3 linked regions of the Macaca fascicularis genome follow. The protein of the gene in region 1 interacts with the protein of each later gene in a biochemical or structural test. Links are inferred from orthologs where the notes say so. Each region holds a gene or a part of one and is shown in the gene's direction. Other genes may lie near its edges.

What was found.
Region 2: the proteins of KIT (region 1) and MATK form a complex in vitro, tested with the Homo sapiens proteins (2 studies listed by BioGRID). The link is inferred for Macaca fascicularis from reciprocal best matches to the Homo sapiens genes KIT and MATK.
Region 3: the proteins of KIT (region 1) and KITLG form a complex in vitro, tested with the Homo sapiens proteins (3 studies listed by BioGRID and IntAct, with this or other methods). The link is inferred for Macaca fascicularis from reciprocal best matches to the Homo sapiens genes KIT and KITLG.

What each region holds. Positions count from the first base shown.
Region 1 is NC_088379.1:79,243,988-79,249,526, reverse strand, and holds the start of KIT (mast/stem cell growth factor receptor Kit), read left to right. Parts: upstream 1-2,301; 5' UTR 2,302-2,359; coding exon 2,360-2,426; intron 2,427-5,539. UniProt on the Homo sapiens protein: Tyrosine-protein kinase that acts as a cell-surface receptor for the cytokine KITLG/SCF and plays an essential role in the regulation of cell survival and proliferation, hematopoiesis, stem cell maintenance, gametogenesis, mast cell development, migration and function, and in melanogenesis.
Region 2 is NC_088393.1:4,522,318-4,527,856, reverse strand, and holds the start of MATK (megakaryocyte-associated tyrosine-protein kinase), read left to right. Parts: upstream 1-1,765; 5' UTR 1,766-2,033; intron 2,034-5,539.
Region 3 is NC_088385.1:95,439,627-95,445,065, reverse strand, and holds part of KITLG (kit ligand), read left to right. Parts: intron 1-563; coding exon 564-673; intron 674-1,635; coding exon 1,636-1,703; intron 1,704-2,804; coding exon 2,805-2,844; 3' UTR 2,845-2,881; intron 2,882-5,439. UniProt on the Homo sapiens protein: Ligand for the receptor-type protein-tyrosine kinase KIT. Plays an essential role in the regulation of cell survival and proliferation, hematopoiesis, stem cell maintenance, gametogenesis, mast cell development, migration and function, and in melanogenesis.

The sequences.
Region 1 (5,539 bases):
ATCTAAGGAGATGTAGTGTGTCTCAAGGTTGGGTTGGGAGATGTTTTAGGGGATGGTTTTTTTTTTTTTTTGTAATCAGTACACAAGGATTTCAATATTGTGTCAACCAATAAGGCCAAATTGGTGTGTACCGGCTGAACACAAATTCTGTTAGCAGATATTATAGTTTCTTATTTGAGTACCTATTTTCCCTGCTGGACTGTGAATTCCCCTAGGCAGAGACTTTGTCTTACTCATTTATGTAGGTCTTATGCCTACCTAGATGCTCAAAAGATATTTGCTGAATGAAAAACTGGAATGACAGTCCAACATTTTATAACTCCCTATTGAGGTTTTCTTTTTGTTTTTTTTTTTTTTCCTGATAGAAGTTTCTTGCCTAGAATTAAATTGCAATATGGTCTCTTTTCACCCACTCTTTTGAAGATGTTATCCTCTCCAATATCAGCTGATTGAAGAAGAAAATTGTAAATTTTCTCTCTCAGGCATAATGTTGATATTTTAACTCATAGTGATTTTTTCTCAATTCAAAATGGATTTTAGAAATAAATCAAGATCCCAGAAACTTATGATTGCTTTGAGTGGTATCTTTCATCTGTCATCCTAAGAAAAACATGAGATCTGATGGCCCAGAGCACAGAGACCTTTTGTATTTCAGTTCTCCTACAGCCACATGACTCGAACCTTTTGCTGGGAGACTGGGATGTAGGTCCCCATACTTGATTATAAGGACTGTGAGGGCAGGGGCCACATCTGCTTATCTGTCTATTAATAATAGTACTCCTGGTACCTAGCTCCTCGTTGCTCCACAGCAGACACTAAATAAATGCTTGCTGAGTGAATAAATACTTACATTTAAAGAGAGGCAATTATACACATTGATCATTTGATCATCCTCTAGTACTGATAATTTTTAAGTGATTAACTTTAAAAATCATTTTTCTTACGTCAACCTGGGTCCTCACACTATTAAACAACAGGAGAGCTTTCAACATTAAATGGAGTGGGGCAGCTGGGCAACTATAAATTTTGGATGATACTTCAGAGAAGAGTCTAGGTGTATCTGTTCTATCCCTTTTTCTCATGGGCATCTGCCACTTATTTTCCATTCTTAAGCTCTCAGGAGGGATGTCTTTTTAGTTTATCAGAATCCATAGGGAAAGCTCATCTTTCTTGGAGTAGGTCTTCAAATAAGGGTTCAAGCCCTGGGTCTTCCCTCACTACAATAATAAACATACCTGCTCTACCCTCCTCACAAAGCTGTTATGGTGAGCATGAAAAGAAGAGTCGGTGTGGGGAAGAACTATTAACCCCTATACAGATACCGTGTTGCTTTCCGTTCAAGGATCCACCATGAGACTGTGGATAAAGCACTTTCCGGGCAGTGAAATCTGGCTTAAGAGAATCATTGTACTTTTATTCTGCTCCTGGGACCGGCAAGGGCAGTTAAGAGGGACACAGGGATCCCTAGCCCTAAAACTGTCGTCTGATACAGAGGCAGATAAATCATTACTGGGGTTGGCAGCGTTGGGGGGAGAGGGGGAAATGTGTATGAAAACCTGGGCTCCCAGAGCAAACTTTGCAACGCGCCCCTCCCCACTTCACCGCCCCAATCTCCACACAAGTCCCGGCAGGGGCTTCTTGGGCGGAGGCCACGCCGACCAATAGGAACCCACTGTATTCTTACAGGTTACGAAGCAGGTGGAGAAACTGAGCAGAAACAATTAGCTAAGCCGGGCTCAGCCTTTACCGCGGTGCCACGCGCTCCTAACAGGCCTGGAGGGTAATGTCGGGGCTCAATTTCCTAACGCTCCCCTCCCCATCCCCGTGTCACCTCCACCAGCAGCGGCGTCCAGCCTCCTCCCGCCCGAACGTGCTCGAGGGACGGGCAGCCGTCCTTTATTGTCTGGGGAGCACCTGGCAGGTGGCGGGCCCGTGCCCTAACGTGCGCGTGGTGCCCAGCTTCACAAAGCGAGCGGGCAGCACCTCTTTGGTCCGGGAACGGCCTCGGGCGGGCCGACCACATCCCAGGGGTGGAGAGGTGGAGAGAGAAAGGGGCTCCGGGGTCAAGAGCTGGGAGCTAGGGCGCGCGCGCGCCCTCCTCCTCCCCGCGGGCACAGCCCCCCGGCATTAACACGTCGAAAGAGCAGGGGCCAGACGCCGCCGGGAAGGAGCGAGACCCGGGCGGGCGCGAGGGAGGGGAGGCGAGGAGGGGCGTGGCCGGCGCGCAGAGGGAGGGCGCTGGGAGGAGGGGCTGCTGCTCGGCGCTCACGGCTCTGGGGGCTCGGCTTTGCCGCGCTCGCTGCACTTGGGCGAGAGCTGGAACGTGGACCAGAGCTCGGATCCCAGCGCAGCCACCGCGATGAGAGGCGCTCGCGGCGCCTGGGATTTTCTCTGCGTTCTGCTCTTCCTGCTCCACGTCCAGACAGGTGGGTCACCGCGGCTGGCACCCCGACCGTGCGACTCCTCGGCGAAGCCTGTGCCCGGGAGGGTGGTACACGCCGGAGTGCATCCGGAGAGAGGACTGCGGGCCCTCAGTGCCTGTGCGTTCCAGTCTCCGGGGGAGACTCCAGGTGTCCCTCGGACTCTCCTGCGCCTTGCCTCGCTCACCTGCGCGAGGAGACCCCAGCTGCTAGTGGTGGGGACGCGAAGCCGGGGTTCCTCGGGAATGGGGACAGCGAGGGGAGGTTAGGCGTGAGCGAGGTTGCAGGCTGCGTGCGAGTTTGGGGTGGCTTTTGTGCCGAGGTTGCGCGGGGGGCGGAGGCGAGGGGCTCAGGGGTTCCCACCGAGCGCCTTCTCTCGCTGTGCGAGGCGCGGCCGCAGCTTCCTTTTGTTAAAAGTTGCGTGTGTGTGACCGGTGCCCAGGAGGACCTGCCTGCAGGTTCTCCGCCGCGCGGAGGGCAAAGTTAGAGAGCCCTTTCTCTCCTCTGCGGCTGCTGCCTTCCAACCGCAGGCGCTCTTTGTGCCCAGAGCTGGGGACCGACCCGCTGCCGCCTCTGCTCACGGCGCCACCCGTGGAGACGAATCGAAGCCTGCGGATTTCCCCGCCTCCGGGTTAGGGTTTTGCTCTGGGAGTGCGCGGCGTGTGGCTGTGGGGCCGGACTCCCGCGAGCCTGGAGGTGGTGTGTACGGGGACAACTTGGGCAGGGCGTGTGGAAAGCAGCCGCTAGGTTGCAGACTTTTTGCTTTCGTATATCCTGTGCTCGTCCCTTTCGGCCGCGGCGCCGTTTCATTCCTGCCACGCGCCCCGGGGCGGCTGGAGGCTGCGTTTGCCGCCTGCTCCGGGAAGGCAAGGGACAGCGTGCTGGGACTATGCGTGCCCTGATCCCGGCTGCCTAGCACGCCGGCCAGTGTGCCCGGCCTGCCTGGCGGGCTCTGGAAGCCCGTAGTCCCGGTATCTGCGACCTGTATTCGCAGGTCCTGTTTTCTTCGGAAATTTTTGAGATTAGTGACCGCCCGCCTCCCTGTCCCCGGGGAGGGGACATCTATACTTCAGGGCTGCCTGGGGGTGGGGTGGGAGATGGAGTGGAACTTTCTGCAAATCCTACTCAGTTCTTAAAGCTATAACAAAAAACCAGATATATCCGCGCGGGAACTTGGGTCTTAGGTGAAGGATTTGCCGGCTGCTGGAGCCCCTCGGTCAGATTTCTGCCTCTCGTTCCCTTTTTTCCAGGTGTCGCTGGTGCGCGCGAGTGCAGGTCGCCCAGCTCACTCCTGAAGCACTGCTCTCTCCCAGGTCATTTTTAAAACAAACCTTTAAGGTTACCTTGATGGTGTAAGGATAGAAAGTGAGTCTTAGCTGGAATCAAGCGCTTGAAAGGAAGCGGCGCAATGAACGGTTGTGAGACTGTCTACTACTGGTCAGTTTCTCTATAAAGTCTCCAGGCGCAGTCTCCCGCGTCCTGGTCTTGTAACTATTGTGAGGGCTTTCCTGTGGGGGCAGAGAGGCCTTGCATCTGGACCCCTGTGCAGCAGGAGGGGTCAGCAGGGGTCACGAGGGAGTGTTCAGATTCCCTGGAGGATTTGATCACCTAGCTTAAAACAACACATCTGGTCTTTATGTTTTTGTGCCTTGACCTTTTTAATATCAGTTAAGGTATGTGAACTAGACCCCAGTAGGAGACTAGAAAGACCACATCGAATATCTCCCTTTTACAAAATTAAAAGAATCAATGGTTTTCTTCTTCCCAAAAGATTTTTGGCAAAGGGAATTTTAAGTCTGTCTCCTGGGGGGGCAGTGTGGTGTAACGACAAAGCCTTGATCTGTCCCCTGGGTTCTCCTTTTCTCTGCCATTTCTTGGCTGCGTGCCCTTGGGCAGGTTGCTTAAGGCAGGTTGCTTAAATTCTGGGGAACCCAGTGTCCTCCAGAGTACAAGGAGGCATCTGCATCATGAAGGATCCTTTGGGTCCAGAATTTTCCAATGTGCTGAGTGTAGACTCAGCACTCTTTTCAACTATTCCCCTGGTCCCTGTCTGCCACCTTGAAATTCCTCTGCCTCTCCTGCTCACGGGGACCTCATGGAGTATGGGTGCATCTGACCGTCTGCCCCTGGCTGCAGCAAGGAGCTGTGGCTTATGCTTCCCACCCCTCAATTCCCATATATTTCTCTGTATTGCCCTTTGAGGGCTAGGAGGTGCCCACTTTGTCCTAACCGTCATTCTTCTCCCCCACCACCACCCCATTATTACAGCTCCTGTGCCTAACAGGATGAAGCTGCAAGGAATGGTGAATCATACCTTCCCCGCTTCATTCCTGCAGGTGTGAGGCTGGAGTCATTCTCAGCAGCTGGACGCAAGGCAGTCTAAATTATTTTCCTGCTGGAAATATCCCAAATAAATATCCCAGATAATTCATTTATCCCTATTCTGTTTTTTCCCCCACTCATCCCCATATTTTTTCCTCATGACTCTCTAAATCATGTATGCTGTGCATTTATAACATGCTTTCTAATGGGCCTTAAATTTTGTATGACATGTGTGTTATACATAGTTGTTGCTCTTCAGTTGGAAACTGTGTGCCAGGCCTGTTGCTTGGGGCTTTACCTGCTATTTCCGCTAGTCTCAATGAGCCTAGGAAGTAGTATTATTATTACCCCTAACATTTTACAGCTGGAGAAACTGGCTAAGGATAAGCGCCAAGTCATCAGTGGTGAAGCCTGATGAGATTGGCTCTATGTGCCCAGCTCTATAACCATTCACATGATTCACCGGAATCTGTAGTAAGACTCATTCAAAAATATTTAATGAGTTTTTACTATGTGCCAGGGATTGTTGGAAGTTCTGGGAATGCAGAATGGCCAATGTCACTGCCTTCCCAATTTTGGTGAAAAATATTTAGAATTGGGTGTCTTATGAAAGGGGAGTATTTGTGGAGGGAGGATTAATTAAATTTTAGCTTGGAGGAAGGGTTGTAGGCATTTGACCCTGTGGTATGCTGGCCTTAGTTGTTAGCTGTCTCATTCTAGTTAGCGTCCCTCAGAAATGAAGGTAAGCTATTTCTAAAATGATGATGCAAGCCAGTTAAAAATTCATCTCCCACTCC
Region 2 (5,539 bases), on another chromosome or scaffold:
GTTCAGATGCTAAGGCCTGGTCACAGTGGAAGAGTTTCCTGACAGCTTCCGGCCCACAGGACTTCCCTGGCAGTGTTTGTCCGGGCAGGTGGGGAGCAGAGTGGGGAGGAGGCAGATGCAGGGTGGGGGCGGCGGGACAGGAGTGGCAGGGGCTGGGTGTGGAGGGACTGCTGTTTCATGCCTAGACCAAAGGAAGGGGGTGGGGAGCCACCAAGGGGTCCCCTTCTAGTAGGGATTATCTATCAGCAACAGGAATTGCTGGTTTAGCCTCCCCGGAGGGCAGGCTGCCTCTAGGCCACTGGCCTCTTCCACCTCACACCCTCTCTCCTGCTTTCCACTCTATGCCAAATTTCTTGGGAACTTCACCTCCCTTCCTACACACTCCGTCCACACACAGCCCCTCTCTTCATCAGCATCGCGGCAGCAGCATGGCCATTTACTCAGGGCCCAAGATGATGGCCACCACCACCAGGGAGCCCTCCCAGATTCCTCTGTGCTCCCGGCCAATCCATGAGGAGGATATCTTGTCAATTCCAGTTCCACTTTTTTTTTTTTTTTTTTTTTTTTTGAGACAGGGTCTCACTCTGTCACCCAGGCTGTAGTGCAGCAGCTCGATCTTAGCTCACTGCAACCTCCGCCTCCTGAGTTCCAGCAATCCTCCCACCTCAGCCTCCCGAGTAGCTGGGACTACAGGCCTGCATCACCACGCCCAGCTAATTTTTTGTATTTTTAGTAGAGACAGGGTTTCACTATGTTGGCCAGACTGGTCTCAAACTCCTGACCTCAGGTGATCTGCCTGCCTCAGCCTCCCAAAGTGCTGGGATTACAGGCGTGAGCCACCGCGCCTGGCCTGTTCCTTGAGTTTAAACCATGCATCTTTGAAACGATTTGGTATGTGTCTTCCCCTTTAGAATGTGAATTCTCTGCCTGTCAGGAAGCCTGTTACCACCAATTGGATCGTCATTGTATTCCCAGATCTTGGATCGTCATTGTATTCCCAGATCTCGGGCAGGCCAGGTGGACACTAGCAACTGAGTCAACCTCAGTGCTTAGAGCCACGCTCTGACACCAAAAGACGTGTCTCTTTCTGGTGGTTAACAGAACACCATTTGTCGGCCAGGAGCAGTGGCTTGTGCCTGTAATCCCAGCACTTTGGGAGGCCGAGGCAGGAGGATCACTTGAGGTCAGGAGTTTGAGACCAGCCTGGCCAACATGGTGAAACCCTGTCTCTACTAAAAATATCAAAAATTAGCTGGGCATGGTGGTGGGCGCCTGTAATTCCAGTTACTTGGAAGCTGAGGCAGGAGAATCGCTTGAACCCGGGAGGCAGAAGTTGTGGTGAGCTGAGATCGCACCGCTGCACTCCAGCCTGGGCAACACAGTGAGACTCTGTCTCAAATTTGTCTCCATCTCATTACCGGAGAGAGACTACAGCTAAGGCTGCGGGGACAGAGGGAAGGGACAGGGGAAGGGGCACGCCCTGGCAGGCCTGGCGGTCACAGTAGCCCCTGGTGGGAGGCACCTCGTCCCCTGCTGTGAACCCCAGGCCTTACCGGCAGCCTGCTTCCTCCCTTACGCTCTGGGAGAGGCGGCTCTCGGAAGCCTCCCACCCACGGTTCCCGTTCCCATCCCCGGCTCCCCGGGAAGCCAAACAGGATTCCCACCACCAGGTGGTTGAAAACCAGCCCCGCTGACAAAGAGTTAAGTCGGCCCTCCTAGCAACTCCAAAAAACCAAGTTTAGGCGGCGCGACAGCAAAATCAAGCAGTTGGTTAGCAAAAGGATTGGGTGCAGATGGAGGGACCGTCTGGGCTACGGAGCCCACGGGCCTGAAAAGCAGTCGCTCCTGACCCGTCCTGCCCAGCCCTCGTCCCACTGGGCCGCGGTCCCCGGAGCAGGCCGGCGGGTGGCGGGAAGACACCGGGCTGCAGGGGGCTGGAGAGGCAACCCCTCCCTCCCTCCCCGCCAGAGCACTGGAGCGCGGGGACCTGGGCTGCGGATGCTGGCGGCGAGCCGGGTTGCTAGGCGACATCGGTGAGTGTGGGCGGGATGATACCCGGCGTGTGGGCAGGGCTGGAACCCAATCCGGCAGGCGGGGCTGGAAAGACAAAAACGGAAGGGCAGGCTGTCACCTGCATCTGCAAGGTCAGGGACAGGACAGGACGGAGAGGCGGCCGCTAAGATGCCCTGAGTCCGCCGGCCCAGTCACAATCAGTCTTGCAGGCAGCATCTCCCTGGCCAGGCTCAGGGGGCGTTTGGGAAAAGATTGGTCTTGTCCCGGGATGCCTCCCTGGGTTAGCTTCTGGGACAGAGAAGATGTTTCGGGTGATCGGATTAAGACCCACTTAAGGTCTTAATTAAGGTGGAGAAGCCACCCTGGGTGGAAAATGGTCCCTCCCAAGTCTTGCACATGAAATGCATTAGGTAGCATCAGCCAGGTGCGATGGCTTACGCCTGTCATCGCAGCACTTTGAGAGGCTGAGGCGGGCGGATCACCTGAGGTCAGGAGTTTGAAACCCCGTCTCTACTAAAAATACAAAAATTAGCTGGGTGTGGTGGTGCACGCCTATAATCCCAGCTACTCGGGAGGCTGAGGCAGGAGAATCGCTTGAACCCAGAGACCAAGGTTGCAGTGAGCCGAGATTGTGCCACTGCACTCCAGCCTGGATGAGAGAGCAAAACTCCGTCTCAAAAAAATAAATAAAAATAATAAAATAAAAAATGATGATGGCAAATTTAATGTTACATGTATTTTTTCCACATAAATGTTTTTACTGTGAATTGGGTTTTTCCCATTATGAAAAACTTGGACAATCCAGAAAAATGGAAGAAGGAAAACAAAACCATCACAAAACAATCAGCCACTGTGAACACTCCATTTCCCTTCTGCTTTTCTTTTTTTTTTCCTGGAGACGGAGTTTTGCTCCTGTTGCCCAGGCTGGAGTGCAATGGTGCAATCTCGGCTCACCACAACCTCTGCCTCCCGGGTTCAGGTGAGTCTCCTGGACTCAGTCTCCCGAGTAGCTGGGATTACAGACGTGTGCAACCACGCCCGGCTAATTTTTGCATTTTTAGTAGAGATGGGGTTTCACCACATTGGTCAGGCTGGTCTCAAACTCCTGACCTCAGGTGATTCACCCGCGTCGGCCTCCCAAAATGCTGGGATTACAGGCCTGAGCCACCGCGCCCAGACATCCCGCTTTCTATTCTTGAATGCCTGGTTGTTTATGGGTGGATCATTTATACCATCTTGCTTCCTGCTTTTCTTCACTGGGTATCATAACGACATTGATTCATCACCTGTTTACTGTGTGCTTACGATCTAACTTAATTCTTCTCATGACCTTACAAGACACATTTTATTTTTCTTTGAGACAAGGTCTCGCTCTGTCACCCAGGCTCAAGTGCAATGGTATGATCTCGGCTCACTGCAACCTCCGCCTCCTGGGTTCCAGTGATTTTCCTGTGTCAGCCTCCCAAGTAGCTGGGAACACAGGCGTCTCCCACCATGCCCAGCTAATTTTTTTGTATTTTAGTAGAGACGGGGTTTCACTGTGTTGCCCAGGCTGGTCTCGAACTCCTGACCCCAGGTGATCTGCCTGCCTCAGCCTCCCAAAGTGCTGAGATTACAGGCATGAGCCGCCGCGCCCGGCCTCAACTCCTGTTCTTTCAGCTGCTCATTCATTCCGTATGTGTGTTGAACGCCTGTGATGTGTGCTGGGCCACCATTCATGTGGTTTCTCCATTTCTCCCGTTGAGGATGTTGACATTTATTCCGTAGACAATCAACAAACACTCATCGCCTTCCTTGGGGAAGCCAAGGCTGAGCCAGAAGCCGTCACTTCACGCAGTGAGGGGGACTCTGGGCTCCGGGCTTTAGTCACAGCGTGGTCCTTTAACTTATCAGCTTTGGAGCGTGGGGACAGCTCATGTTACCGTCTTAAGCTTCCATAAAACTGGGGACAAACTGGTAGCACCAACCGTGCAGGGAGCTGTGAGAATTCAGTAAGAAAATGCATTTTAAAATGCTTGCTGCACAGAAAGGTTCAGGCACAGGGACCCAGGCTCCATGGAGGGCAGGGATGAGGGAGGGGCTCTGCAAATGGGCCATTAAGACCAAGTGCAGTGGCTCATGCCTATAATCCCAGCACTTCAGGAGACTGAGGCAGGAGGATCACTTGAGCCCAGGAGTTTGAGACCAGCCTGGGCAACACAGCAAGACACCATCTCTAAAAAAAAAAAAAACAAAAAATAGCCAGATATGACGATCCATGCCTGTAGTCCCAGCTGCTTGAGAGGCTGAGGCAGGAGGATCACTTGAGCCCTGGAGGTCGAGGCTGCAGTGAGCTATGATCATGCCACTGCACTCCATCCTGCACGACAGAGTGAGACCCTGTCTTTAAAAAAAACCAGGCCGGGCACGGTGGCTCACGCCTGTAATCCCAGCACTTTGGGAGGCTGAGGCAGGGGCATCACCTGAGGTCAGGAGTTCAAGACCAGCCTGACCAACATGGTGAAATTCCATCTCCACCAAAAAAAAAACCTTAGCCGGGCTTGGTGGCACATGCCTGTAATCCCAGCCACTTGAGAGGCTGACGCAGGAAAATCACTTGAACCTGGGAAGCAGAGATTGCAGTGAACCAACACCGTGCCATTGCAAAAAAACAAACACAAACACAAAAACAAACAAAAAACCTAGGCCATTAAAGTCACACATAAAATAGTGACCCCAGATGCGTACTCTCTTGTGGCTTCTAGAACGCTGGATGCCAGGCTATGAGAAAAGCCTTCCAGATGCTGCTAATGTTTTGGGATTCCCGCCCAGTGACCACCCCCAACCCGCCAACCACCCCACAGTGAAGCCGCCCCGTGGTGAGGAGGCTTCCGTGAGCTCTGTAGCACTCTGTCATAATTGTTAGTCAACAGAGAGACCAAAATCCACAAAGAGAAAAGAAAAGTAACTTGAAGGAGAGACAAAGAGGGTAGAAGAAAACAGTTCTAGAAAAATCCTTATGTTCCTGATTAAAACACAGAACAGAGGCCGGGCGCGGTGGCTCAAGCCTGTAATCCCAGCACTTTGGGAGGCCGAGACGGGCGGATCACGAGGTCAGGAGATCAAGACCACCGTGGCTAACACGGTGAAACCCCGTCTCTACTAAAAATACAAAAAACTAGTCGGGCGCGGTAGCAGGCGCCTGTAGTCCCAGCTACTTGGGAGGCTGAGGCGGGAGAATGGCGTAAACCCGGGAGGCGGAGCTTGCAGTGAGCTGAGATCCGGCCACTGCACTCCAGCCTGGGTGACAGAGCGAGACTCCGTCTCCAAAAAAAAAAAAAAAAAACACAGAACAGAAAAAAACAAAACCTGTATGCATCTTATCCTCAGAGAGATCATAGAGGATATAACAGCCAGGAAACAAGTATAAGTTTGCCTGTATTTATTTATTTATTTATTTATTTATTTATTATTATTTTTATTTTTGAGATGGAGTCTCCCTCTGTCGCCCAGGCTGGAGTGCCGTGATGTGATCGTGGCTCACTGC
Region 3 (5,439 bases), on another chromosome or scaffold:
CCCTCCTTAGATGCTATCCTTCTGCCTGAGAAAGGTTTTAGGTAGCAAATTCCAGAATATCTCCCTCTTTAGTAAGCTGCTTTTTGCTTTTGAGTCTGGTCTTTCCTTTGGCCTGAGTGGTGAATTTCAAGACTTGGGTTTGGTCTTTGTATAGAACAGGAAGAACGTGGTGTTTGGCTACCTTGATTCTGGGACATCCGGCTGACCCAACGTAGCCAAATACCAAGATAAAGGCATGAGAGATAGATTTGTTTGATAGTGTAAGTCATTTCCCCCCCAGAAATATATTAAGTCTGTGTTCCATATGTGGCAGAATTACCCAAGCCAGATTTCTTTCTGTCTCTGTGATTTCTTTCCTTTTTAATGCATTCATCTTTTGGAGACTACCTGGACTTATATTGCCTTGCAAAAGCAATATTCAGCGGAAAAATCAATCTTTTGAATACTTTAAACAGATATAGGTCCAGAATGTGTTACAGAAACAGTTAAAAACAACCACAGCATAAGAGCAAAACTTCTAGGATGAATATGCTGTATTCATCACTGTGTTCTTTAAATTATAGGGAAGGCCAAAAATCCCACTGGAGACTCCAGCCTACACTGGGCAGCCATGGCATTGCCAGCATTCTTTTCTCTTATAATTGGCTTTGCTTTTGGAGCCTTATACTGGAAGGTAAGTGTTGCCATTCCTTTTTTTAATATGCTATGTTTACATAAATTATTAATCTTTTTTCCTCAAGAAATGATCCATTACGAAAACAGTGAATTCTACCTTAGTTTATAATCTAAACAAAATTTAAATTTTAGAAAGTTTCCCATTTCTCATTACATCTGGAGACAATCCCTGTAGCTGATTATTCACACTTAAGAATTAGGAACTTGCCGGGCGCGGTGGCTCACGCCTGTAATCCCAGCACTTTGGGAGGCCGAGATGGGCGGATCACGAGGTCAGGAGATCGAGACCATCCTGACTAACATGGTGAAACCCCGTCTCTACTAAAAATACAAAAATTAGCCGGGCGCGGTGGCGGGCGCCTGTAGTCCCAGCCACACAGGAGGCTGAGGCAGGAGAATGGCGTGAACCCGGGAGGCGGAGCTTGCAGTGAGTGGAGATCGCGCCACTGCACTCCAGCCTGGGAGACAGAGCAAAACTCCGTCTCAAAAAAAAAAAAAAAAAAAAAAGAATTAGGAACTAGCGTTAATAACCTGAACTAAATATGAAAAGGAAGATCTGCCAAAAATCATATGATATACTTAAAAGATAAATAGAAATGTCATTTGTATTATCTGCTATTTTTGGATTTCTACTCTTTTGTTCTCTTCTTATTGAAGCCTGTCTAAAATTTAAAAATGTGCAAAAATCATTGTGATTCAGCTTCTTGAAATGTCTTTTGAATTTGATTAAATGTCAACTTCTTTCTTACTCTTTCTCCCCCAACATCCTAAAAATGTTGAGTTGATGGTACCGTGCAACTTTCATAATTTTTTATTACAAAAACATTTTGCATGCTACATGCTGAAAAAAACTGTTATTGGAGTTATTGACATAAAAGATAAAAGTGGAGTGCACTTACCTCTTAAATATTAGACCATTCATTGATCGTTTTACAGCATGTGTGTTTCTTCTTTTTCCAGAAGAGACAGCCAAGTCTTACAAGGGCAGTTGAAAATATACAAATTAATGAAGACGATAATGAGATAAGGTATTTTGTTTTGCTAAATGTGTGCCTAATCAAGCATGGCATTGCCATTTCACACGCTGTGTACATGCCCAGAATGTCTTTAAGAAGTCCTTAATTCATGACAGTAGCTCCTAACCAGTGAGTCCCAACTCTTTATCCATCTTTCTGATGTCTCACTCTCTCTTCAATGCTGCATCTCGATTTACCTGTAGAATACCTTCACATAATTGTTTTCATGACCCTTCTTAGGGTTTATAAAGGGGTTACCTCTGCTTTCTTATTTAAGTAAGGCAGCAGAATCTTCTCAGACTCCTAGTTGTGGAACTCTGGAGGCATATTTGCTCATGTTCTTTCTTTTCCACACTTTTATCAAAACATACTGATTCAGCTCTCAGAGCCTTTTCCTAAGCTTAGTTCTTTTGGTAGGAAGCATTATCATCACTGACATCTTTATGATCTCATGAGTTGCTGCCACTGATCTTTTCTTTTGCCCTTCTAAACTCAACCTTTAGTCACACTCTTCTGTAAACACTGGTTCATAGTGTGACTTCTTATTCGAAATATGTTCGTGATTTTCTCTTGTATATTTAATATATCTTTTATTTTACTCTGGCTTTCAGAGCCCTTAACTTTTCTCAGCATGCTCGTTGTTTTCTGTAAAGCCAAATGCAAAATTTGCTGTAAGATGACTTTCCGTTCTCTGTAGCTGGCTCTTGTTACTCTTTCACCTTACCCTATACTGCCCAGTGCTCATATGTTCCCTTACCTTTGATTATAATTTTCATTTGGTGTGTTGCATTCTCTCATGTCATGCCTATTGTATACACAGACACATATGAAATGCATATAGGCATGTTTGGTGTGTGTATATGCATATACAGAGAAAGAAATGTTTTAACTACTTTGAAAGACTACCTTAAGACAAATGAAGTCTTCCCTCTTCCCTATAGTAATAAGAAGGTAAGCTCCCCATTAAATTTTGCAATCTTCTACTACTGTATTTACAGAAAAGCTGCCTTTTACAATGCCCAGGTCATGGTGTACCTCAGAATCTCTGACTAAGAGCAAATAAGCATGACTTTTTTTATTTTTTTTAATTTTTTATTTTTTATTGTTTTTCAGTATGTTGCAAGAGAAAGAGAGAGAGTTTCAAGAAGTGTAATTGTGGCTTGTATCAACACTGTTACTTTCGTATATTGGTAAGTTTTTTTTCTTTCCTTTTTTTTTCTTTTTTTCTTTTATTCTTTAAGTTCTAGGGTACATGTGCACAAAGTGCAGGTTTGTTACATATGTATACATGTGCCATGTTGGTGTGCTTCACCTATTAACTTGTCATTTACATTAGGTATATCTCCTAATGCTATCCCGCCCCCCTCCCCACCACGCCATGACAGGCCCCAGGGTGTGATGTTCCCCGCCCTGTGTCCAGGTGTTCTCATTGTTCAATTCCCACCTATGAGTAAGAACATACAATGTTTGGTTTTCTGTCCTTGAGATAGTTTGCTCAGAATGATGGTTTCCAGCTTCATCCATGTTGCTATAAAGGACATGAACTCATCCTTTTTTACAGCTGCATAGTATTCCATGGTGTATATGTGCCACATTTTCTTTAACCAGTGTATTATTGATGGACCTTTGGGTTGGTTCCAAGTCTTTGCTATTGTTAATAGTGCCACAGTAAACATATGTGTGCATGTGTCTTTATAGCAGCATGATTTATAATCCTTTGGGTATATACCCAGAAATGGAATGGCTGGGTCAAATGGTATTTCTAGTTCTAGATCCTTGAGAAATTGCCACACTGTCTCCCACAATGGTTGGACTAGTTTACAGTCCCACCAATAGTGTGAAAGTGTTCCTATTTCTCCACATCCTCTCCAGCACCTGTTGTTTCCTGACTTTTAATGATCACCGTTCTAACTGGTATGAGATGGTATCTCATTGTGGTTTTGATTTGCATTTCTCTGATGGCCAGTGATGATGAGCATTTTTTCATGTGTCTGTTGGTTGCATAAATATTTTCTTTTGAGAAGTGTCTGTTCATATCCTTTGCCCACTTTTTGATGGGGTTGTTTGATTTTTTTCTTGTAAATTTGTTTAAATTCTTTGTAGATTCTGGATATTAGCCCTTTGTCAGATGGGTAGATTGTAAACATTTTAATTCAAACTGAAGTATTTAGCTAGAACTATACAGCATATGAGATGCCAGAATTTATAAACAAACTTCATTAGTAAGTGGTCTATCAAGCAGATGTCAGCATGTTGGCTGAAGTTGTTACATAATTGAAATGTGCATATCTAATTCATTGTGTATTCTCCAGTTTTGAAAGGTAAGCAGTGTTTGTCCTGACTAGTGGATTCATCTTGTATGGGAGATGCACAAAAAAATTAACAGTTGCATGTTTACTTGGACTGTTTTTGAGGCCAGAAAATTAATTAGACAAGGGGAATATAGCAAATTAGGACTAAAATTAAGTATTACTAATAGAATAAAGACATATGGAATCAATTTTATTTAGGTGTGACCACCATAACATGACGGTGTCCCATGTGTTAGATGCTGAAACAAGAGAAAACCAGAATGTTTCCCTGCCATTTTAAGGAAAAAGAGAAAACATCCAAATATCTTACAGTCAGGAGAGTAAGATTTTCAAGGTCAATTGCCACTTTCCACATGACTAGTAATAATTATGCATTATAATAGTTCAGAGCCCAGGATACACTGAGCATAAACGCATGGCAGACACATGCTGTGATTGTATGGGTCTGCGGAAGGATTGTGGAAGAAAGGAGAGTAAGATGTGGCTAGAAGTTACTAGTGATCATTATCTCCTGTCCTGTCTACTTTCTCTGCTCCCTTGCTGCAGATACTGTTGCAGGAAGACCCACAGCTGCCTTAACTTAATCAGTATTGATTCATGCTGTCCCTCACTTTTGCTTCTGCTAATTGGCTGTTATTTTTGTTACTGTCATGGAATCCTGAGTGCATTTACCACAGTGGCATGCGAATATTCTCTTCTCTTTCTAATTCCTCATTTCTTCTGTGCATTCCCTCATTGTCAAAGGATTATTTACTCTCCTCTTTATTACCTAGATAGTCTGTGGTGAGTTCCTTCTTTACCCGGCAAGTCACTGCCCTTCCAGCTTTAACCCCTGTCCCAGCTTCAGAGATTTATCTCTAGGCTGAATCTTCTTCGGTGGAGCTGAGTCATAAAGTATCTGGCCTCCTGTAATGAGCTTACTTTTATGGTTATACAACATTTTTTTAACAACTCAAGATAACATGATATAATTATGTTGCACATTTCTCTAACACTGTAATACTTTATTCTACATACTCTGTCACTTTTACCTTCAATCATACTCTTGATTAACATGTCCATACCATGAATAGCACCCTCTGTTTTCTGCTGCCCATTCCCACTTCTTTCTAGGCTCATTCTTCCTGTCAAATCATGTAAATGGATAGAACCTTTGCTTAACACTTTTTATTTTCTGGAGCAGTATTTCCCAAGCTGAAACGATGCTTTTTCCTAAAAATTCATTTTTTTGCCTTTGAACCGTAAGATGAGATTCACTGTTTTCTTTTTGGTTTTTTTTCCTTTTCTTCTTCTTCTTGACAGCCATTTCAGTTCTCTCAAGCAGCATTCACAAACCACACATTAAATGGTTAATTGAGTCTTAAATGCTCAAGTAATGTCCTCTGTTGTTTGGTTTGGGATTGCATTGCTGGGATCCTGTTTTGGCACACAGGTCT